Linked DNA regions of Notamacropus eugenii. The protein of the gene in region 1 binds, or shares a complex with, the protein of each later gene. Links are inferred from orthologs where the notes say so. Each region holds a gene or a part of one and is shown on either strand. Other genes may lie near its edges. The genes, in order: PPP2R2A and IER5.

Evidence for each region.
Region 2: the proteins of PPP2R2A (region 1) and IER5 are in contact, whole or in part, in a cryo-EM structure (PDB 8UO5), measured with the Homo sapiens proteins. The link is inferred for Notamacropus eugenii from reciprocal best matches to the Homo sapiens genes PPP2R2A and IER5. Residues at the interface, in NP_002708.1 of Homo sapiens: Glu91, Ile92, Glu93, Glu94, Asp116, Tyr178, His179, Asp197, Leu198, Met222, Leu225, Thr226, Glu227, Val228, Thr230, Ser247, Phe280, Phe281, Glu283, Ile284, Ser287, Cys334, Tyr337, Glu338, Asn339, Asp340, Phe343, Lys345; in NP_057629.2 of Homo sapiens: Ala7, Arg9, Ile10, Ile13, Ser14, Lys17, Arg25, Gly26, Lys29, Leu30, His31, Lys32, Leu34, Leu35, Val36, Leu38, Val39, Leu40, Arg41.

The regions. Positions count from the first base shown.
Region 1 is NC_092872.1:744,066,480-744,070,382, forward strand, and holds the start of PPP2R2A (serine/threonine-protein phosphatase 2A 55 kDa regulatory subunit B alpha isoform), read left to right. Parts: upstream 1-1,396; 5' UTR 1,397-1,519; coding exon 1,520-1,556; exon of another isoform or gene 1,557-1,900; intron 1,901-2,147; coding exon 2,148-2,222; intron 2,223-3,903. UniProt on the Homo sapiens protein: Substrate-recognition subunit of protein phosphatase 2A (PP2A) that plays a key role in cell cycle by controlling mitosis entry and exit. Involved in chromosome clustering during late mitosis by mediating dephosphorylation of MKI67.
Region 2 is NC_092873.1:464,456,643-464,460,545, reverse strand, and holds IER5 (immediate early response gene 5 protein), read left to right. Parts: upstream 1-1,672; 5' UTR 1,673-1,981; coding exon 1,982-2,851; 3' UTR 2,852-3,656; downstream 3,657-3,903. UniProt on the Homo sapiens protein: Plays a role as a transcription factor. Mediates positive transcriptional regulation of several chaperone genes during the heat shock response in a HSF1-dependent manner. Mediates negative transcriptional regulation of CDC25B expression.

The DNA.
Region 1 (3,903 bases):
TCCGCCCTCCCCCCGGCTCTCGGGATGGGGGGGCGCTCCTCGCACCTCTGCCTAGAGAGAGGGAGCCGAGGCACCTGAGGAGGTCCTGGGCCATTTTACAGAGGAGGAAACTGAGGCCCAGCCAGGGCCGCGAGCGTCGAGCGTGGGGGGCTTGCGGAGCCCCGGGAGGTCGCGGGCTCGGCCGACCTCGGGGACCTGCGGCCGGCAGGCTGGCCGGGAAGCGCGCCTTTGTAGCCCGGCACTCGGAGGTCACGCGTTCCTCCGGAGGTGCCCTCCCTCCGAGACGGTCCCCGCGTTGTCCGTGGTCTCCCGTGGATCCGCCGGGCCTCGTGGATGCCCGACCTGACCGCGGAGGCCGCGGAGTGGGGCGGCCCCAGAAGCTCGGAGCCCCGAAGGTGCAGAGGCTCCCGGGCGGAGGTCACGCTGCTCCAGCGCCTCTTGTGTTAGACCGAAGGAGGGGGAGGCCCGGCAAGGTCCCCTCTAAACGTGGGCCAGCCCCGGACTCGTGCCCCCGAGGGGCCCGGCCGGCCCGGCCTCCAGCCCCCGGGATTGTCAGGCCCAGAAAAGTCCCCGTCGAGATGAGCCCCCTGGTCTTGTAGATGAAGCAGTCCAAGCGTGGTGCCAAGGGTGGAAAACGAACCCAAACTTTCATCTTTGCTTGAAGGAAGGCCTGTGCCCGTGCCACTTGTGTCTCTGCCCCTCTCCCAGGGGTGGGCGTTTGGGGGGCTGGTTCATGGAGTTCAGTGGTTCTTGTGCTTATTAGTTGAGCAGTTCGCTGAGAGCCAGTGGCGGAAGAGAGAATCACAGTCTAAGAGCTGGAAAGGCAGAGTAGCCATTGATTCCAATCTGTACGAGCCTGTATTGGAAAAATGAGATTTTACCTACTGACATAGGAGGAAGAGGACTTGGTAGGTATGGGGAGCATCTTCTGTTAACGAAGAGTGGGAGTGCAGAGAGGAAAAAAAGAAAATACATTTTTTTCCCCCAGCAAATTTCCTGGGTCTGAAAGATTTCCGTCACTTAAGAGAATCAGGAATAGACCATTTAATTGTGTTACCCTTTCTCCTCCACAAGTTTTCTTCACTGTGCTTCCATCTATAGCAGTGTGAAAGACAGAAACATCACAGACTGAGCTAATTCTTTATCTCGAAATCCAGATGGATTTTTGCACTTCAGCTTGTATTTTCTATTTTTTAATGTGTTGGATTGAACTTGTGATTTTGCTAAAAAGCACGTTGCTTTTTGGCCTTGTTAATCTAGTAAAATTAAAACTGTTGCACAAGATGGTAAATTACATCTGTTGCTTGGCCCTTTGGATTCTGAGGGGTGGGGTGAAGGAAGAAAGAAACTTCCTTTTGACAGCCTCTTTAGCAGCATTCATTTCAATTACTTTTCCTGTATGTAATGAATGAGTGATTGGCTGGCAATGAAATGTAGAAAAATGGGTGGTGTTTTTGGGGGGAGGGGAAGGTGTTGGTAGCAAGGTTCAAATGAATCACCATCTTTCACAGAGCCAGAAATGTTCCTGAAGTTGTCACTTCGTGCAGTGTTTCATGGTAGTTTTAGTTTATTAACTGTAACACGGGATATTGTCTGCAGATTTAAAAAGAAAACCACTTTAAAAATGGTTTACTTTTTTGTATTGCTTTCTGATCTTTCTTAACTACATGTGATTAGCATCGTTTTTGGAGAGGAGGTGAAGATTAAAGAACAGTTTTAAGCAGAAGTGCAGTGTTAGTGATCAGCCAATGAGTTCATGCTCTTAAAAAAAACTTAATTCCAACATTAAAAAAAAACTTCGAAGACAGTTTTTTTAAGTGATGTACTTTCTCAAGGGTCCAAAGGCACAAAATTGGTCAAGAACTGTTTTAACAAACTAAGTCTCAATAACTTTTTCTTTGTAAGTAATGAGTTATGACTTTTTTTCTTGATCTTGAATCTAGATCTGATCACAGTAGCAGAAAAAATTCCTAATGATGTTCTACTACAACTTTCTCCAAGTTGGAGATTTAGGGGCACAGAGGTTCTCTGAGTGGGCAGCTGTCGCTAGTGGTGCTGTGCTGACCTTGGACACTAGCTCTCTGTTTGGGGTGGGGGAGTGAACAAAACTCAGACATGATGTTAATGGGGATTGTTTTTCCTTTTAGGAGCTGGAGGAGGAAATGATATTCAGTGGTGTTTTTCTCAGGTGAAAGGGGCAGTCGATGATGATGTAGCAGAAGGTAAGAATATTTTTTAACAATGGAAGTTGAATATAAACTAAGCTGGATATTCTTTTAAATTTTGATTCTGCAGAAATAGTTCTTGCAGATGATGGCTAGTAAAGCTGTTGGTTGTGTGAGAGCCTGGGCCAGCCTCAGGGGCTCTCTAGTTGGGGCTTGCTTGGAGGGCAGCTACCCAGAGCTCAAGGAAAACCTCTGACTCGGGCCATAAAAGCAGTCCTTTGCTCTCTATTCTGGGTGCTTTGTTTTCATCCTCCCACCCACCTGCCTTGTTAATTTAAGAAAATTCATGACTTAATGTTAAAATGAACAGTTCACACAGAACTGTAGACTTACAAAGACTTGGGAGCTCTTTGTTGTAAGTAAGCTTTTTGCTGCTTGATTTTCTTCGTGATACATTGTACTCATCTTGAAGGTTTTTTAGCTTAGACAAACAAGTGTGGAAACTGTACTTTTGAAGGTTGACTCTGTTTCATACATGTACCAGTAAAAGTTTTTTTTTCTGTAATTTTTTCTTTCTGTCATTAGAGGAAGTTTTAAATATTGCTGACTTTTTATTTGTTTTTGAAGCTAACTTTTCATATTAATGACCAACACAAGTTCTCAAAAGTAGACCTTTCAGATCCAAAGTTTTCGTTTGTCTCTGGAAAGTATGAAAGTATTTCTTTGTGTGTTATCAGAAGCTCTAATTTGATGCCTGTTTAATAGGATCTAGATGTTAGTTTTGCTACACATTTAAAATTTTTTTCTAATTAGAAATCTTATTTTTAATGAAGTGCAAGAAATTGGCAAGCCTTTTGTGTCTAGTGTGAATCATTTTCTCCTTCTCCTGTGTTCTCCCTTCACGTAAAAAGAGGGCATTAATGGACTTTCCTATATCCATATCTGCATGGTTTTTCCCAGGAGTTGTCACAGATTTGTGTTAAGCCAGCCCTGGAGCTTTTCCTCTCAAGTTGTACCAGTGGGGCATGCTTTAATGATGTGGCTGGCCAGGGTTAGGTGGAGTCCTGATCATGAAATGGATTTTTCTTTTCGGGAAGTCAGCTGGCATATATATTATTGGCACCAGGTTCATCTTAGAGTGCTTATGCTTCAAAGTGGGCTTTGCCTTCAGGGAAGCTTTTGTGGGAGAGGTGGCATTTGAAGTGGATCTTAGCAGCTTGAATGAAAGCCCTGAGCTAGGGAAGGGAAGGCTTGACCAGGAAACGTCCCTGCCTGGGAGTTGGGACTCTAAAAGGGGTGGGGTACTGTTCATTTGTGGAAGTCTTTCTGGAGCAGATTAAGGCATTAGACTATTTGGCAGGTAGTAGGGAGTTATTAGAGAGGTTTGATCTTCACAAGGAAGGCCTGTTGGAAGGGGGAGTGATGTGGGGTGGATGGGTCTATTATAATAGGTCGCACCTTTTAATAGCAGTCTGGTGTCTAAAATAAATGAATTCTCGATTTCATTTGAATTTAATCTGAGTATTACATGTGTTACGTATATAAAATATCTGTCTCTTAACCTTTAGATTGGGAGAACTGAGGACAAATGGATATTTAGAAAGCCATATCACAATATCTTGTTCTAATGCTTTATATTAAGATAAAATATGGTTTCCATTTTCCTGTTTTTCAGATGGATGCTATTTTATTTTGTGGGTGATTCTGTTTGCCAGGTTTTTGTTTTTTTTTCCCCTTC
Region 2 (3,903 bases), on another chromosome or scaffold:
GAGCCAGTAGAGATTACCCTGGAGGTCATCTAACACAATCCCTCCATTTTACAGATGTGGATGCGTCCAATTTACACCCTTACTAGAACCGCAAAGAAGAATCCAATAACGACGTATCTTGTTTTATTAAATATGTCATGGGCATGTGGAGGCAGAGGAATTGGATTCGAATTCTAGCTTTATGGATTACTACCTGTGACTCTTCAAGTGCTAAACCTTAGGAGCTCTATGTGTGTTCCTGAAACGTTTCCTGTAAAGAAAAATCTTAAAATTATATTTTGTATGCACTTTGAGGAGAAGCTATTTGAAGAGAAACCGTGGGGATATGTTTTTGGAAAGAAAGCAAACGGCTCCTTAATTTAAATGTTTTCTAAGTCTGGATTTTTGGTATTTTGGCTTTTCTTAAACAAAGGCAGATCTATATCTTGAAAAGACATCGTATTGTGTTTCAAACAGTTCAAAACACTTCCATTCATGTATTTACTTAACACCTTCCCCAACTATATACATATATATATATGCACACACTATCTATCTATCTATCCGTCTATCTATATACACACACACACGTATATGGAAGCTATTTAAATAGCTCCGTTTTTTTAAAAGTAAGATTAAGTGTGCTGAATGGATGTGCCTCCAGGCACCTCCAAACCAAGCTGGAGGACAGCTCCCCGGCACCTCGGGAGATCTCCCGCCGGGAGGATTCCGGGCTGGGGGCCGCAGGGCCTCGCCCCGCCGGGGGCTCCGCCGCCCGGCCACACGGGCTGCGGACCGAGGACCAGCACAACTAGCAGGCGGCGCCGCCGGCAGCCCCGCAGGAGAAGCCCCCCGAAGCCGCGTTCGTCCCCTGGCTGCCGGGGCGGGCCCTCGCGGGGCACGCGGCGTCTGCAGCCGGAGCAGCGCTGGAGGCCGGCAGGTGAGGGGCCCGTTAACAGCCCGTGCGGTCGGGTTCCCACGCCTCAGCCCGGCTACGAAACCTCCTTAGCCAAGTCTCTTAAAGTGGAGGCGGGGCCGGGGGGGAGGGGAAAAGGGTGGAGGGAGAGGGAAAGGGCGTGTGTCCGCGTACCGTGGGGGGAGGGGCGCGGTCGGGAAGCGATCCTGGCTCTTCCTTTAGAGTGGGAAAGGACCTCCGAGGCTCTGGCGCCTGCTCCCTCCTGTACGGACGGGGAAACTGAGGTCCAGGGAGGCTTAAGCGACTGCCGGGGAGCCAGGATCCGAGCCCGGGCTTCTCGGCCTCCGACGCTCTTTTTACCGGCCCCGGAGCTCCCTCTGAAGGGCACTCACTCGCCGCTGGGGTGTCTCTGGGGTGGGGGATGGGGAGTCGGGGTGGCCGCGGCCGGGGAGCCACCGTTAGGAGGGCCAGCTTCGGCTTCGGGAATCCAGCCGTGTCCAGTACGCACCTGAACGCCCTGCCCACCGCACGAACAGCCGAACAAAGGGCTTTCCCCCGCCTCCTCCGGGAACGCCCGAGCGCCCCGAGAGGTGACACCTCGGGGACTTGGCCGGCTCGTTCCCCTCCCCCCTCGAGCACCGCTTCCTCTTCCTCGCTGTTTCCCCCTTTAAGAGAGGGCTCCGCGGGACTAACGTTCGAATCTGCCCTGTCTCCGGCCCGCGGCCTCTGATTGGCTGAGAGGGGCGCACGAGGGAGCGCGAGCTCTCCCCGAACCGGTCGGAACGGTCGCTAGTCTCTCCTGATTGGCTGGCGTGAGAGGACTATATAAAGCCGCCGGGTCGCCCGTCTCCGCTCAGTTAGCGGCGGGACTGGTTGCCAAGCTCCCGTGTGCTCCGTCGCGGCCGTGAGAAAGGGGTCAGAGCTCGCGTCGCCGTGGTCCCGGTTGTTTGTTCGCTCGCTTTGGGCCGAGGGAGGAGCTGACGCGTCTCCGCCTCCGGCCCCACACCCTGCCCGCGGACGGGACGAGGGGGTAGCCGCCCGTGAATCGGCCGCCCTCGAGCTGCGGAGGCGCCTGAGCGAGGGACGATGGAGTTCAAGCTGGAAGCTCACCGCATCGTCAGCATCTCCCTGGGCAAGATCTACAACTCGAGGGTTCAGCGCGGCGGCATCAAGCTCCACAAGAACCTGCTGGTGTCGTTGGTACTTCGCAGCGCCCGCCAGGTCTACCTGAGCGACCCCTGCCTGGGCGGCCCCGGGCCGGGCGCGCTCGCGCCGCCGCCGCCGCAGCTTCCCGGGGGGCCGGCCCCGGGCTGGGGAGAGCCGCTCCCCAGGGACAGCAGCATGGAGCAGGACCCGGAGCCCGCCCCCGAGCCCCTCGGGGAGCGCCCGCCCGAGGGGTCGCCGCCGCCCCGAGCCGAGGCGGGGCCCGAAGCCCCGAGGCGCCGCGTGGAGGAGGCGGAGAGCGGCGGCGGCGGGGAAGGCGTCCCGGAGGGGCCGCCGCGGGCGCGGCTCTGCTGCTGCCGCCGCCTCCCCGGCTCCTCGCGCGGCGCCCCGCGGGCCGACTGCTCCTGCCACCCGCGCCCGGACGAGGGGGCCCCGCCACCGCCCGTCTGCCCCCGGAAAAGGAGCGCCTCGGGGGCGGGGGGCGGCCCCGGGGGGTGCTTGGCTTCGGGCGGCTCGCCCGTGAAGAAACCCCGCAGGGACTCGGAGGAACAGCCGGGCGAGGAGGAGGAGATGGAGACCGGTAACGTGGCCAGCCTCATCACCATCTTCGGGTCCAGCTTCTCCGGACTCTTGCGCAAAAGCCCCGGGGGCGGCCGGGAGGACGAGGACGGCGAGGAGGAGGAGCAGCAGCCGCCGCGCGGTCCGGAAGCGGCGGAGCCCGGGCCCATGTACTGCGACAAGCCGGTGTTAAGAAACCTCAACCCCTGGAGCACTGCCATCGTGGCCTTCTGATCGCCCGGGGCCCGGGCGGGGGCGGGGGCGCCCGGGGAGAGACTGAGGCGGTGCCGCCCCGAGCCGGGCCCCGCCCCCGGCCCGCCGCCCCGCCCCCTCGGAGCCGGCTGGGCAGCGGGACCTGCCCGGGGGCGAGCCGCGAGCGGACTGTGCCCGCGCCGCCGGGCCCCTGGGCGCCGGGGGGGCTTGTGTTATAAAGTGTTTTTGTAAGTTGATTGTTGAAGTAAGGCTTTCTTGTCACCGGGATTCCGGGCTGGGGCTCGAGACGCTGGGGGCGGGCGGGGGCGGCGCGGAGCCGGGACTTTCCTGCAGGGGCGGCGAGGAGGAAGCAGCGCGGCCGGGCCGGGAGCTGGGGGAAGGGACTCGGCGAGCCCCCCCACGACCGGCCCCGCGCGGGCCTCGTGGGCGCCCTGCGCAGCCCGGAGCGCGGTCCTGGGGGGAGGGACAATTCTTGTTGACAGACTCTGAGGTCTCCCCCCTTCAGAAAGCTTGGTGAGCTTCCTAGAAGAGATCAAGCTTGAAATACTGAGTTTATAAGGAAATATATATATAAACATATATATATTTTAAAAGCTCTAGGTCAGAATTATTACACAGTGCTTTTAAAAAGTGTTTAATGAAAAAGTTTACAGATGCCCTAATGGAAAGGCCTCGTGGCTTTAGTAGATGTGATTACTCCCGTCTTTGTTGTATAAAGGCTGGGGGCTTGTAGAGTTTTTGTACAGTATTTTCTTCGTGTATTGACATTTTTTTTGTATAAAATGTAACTTTACGTGTCTGACACGTATTAAATATTTTGAAGCAACCTCACTGTCTCCTTTTCTGTAATCACCCGCTTGGGATTGGGAGGAGCGAGAAAAGGACCGTGGTCCCACCGACCAGGGTGATATTGTTGAAATAAAATATATTTACGGCCGAGTACGGAATAGACCAAACTGGGGCAGCTATTCAATAGATGAGAAACACCAACGTATGATTCCAGGTTGGAATCATATTCTTTGAAGTTTCCTGTAACCCAGTCTGAAGGGGGTATGGCGGTCCTTTGCCTGTAG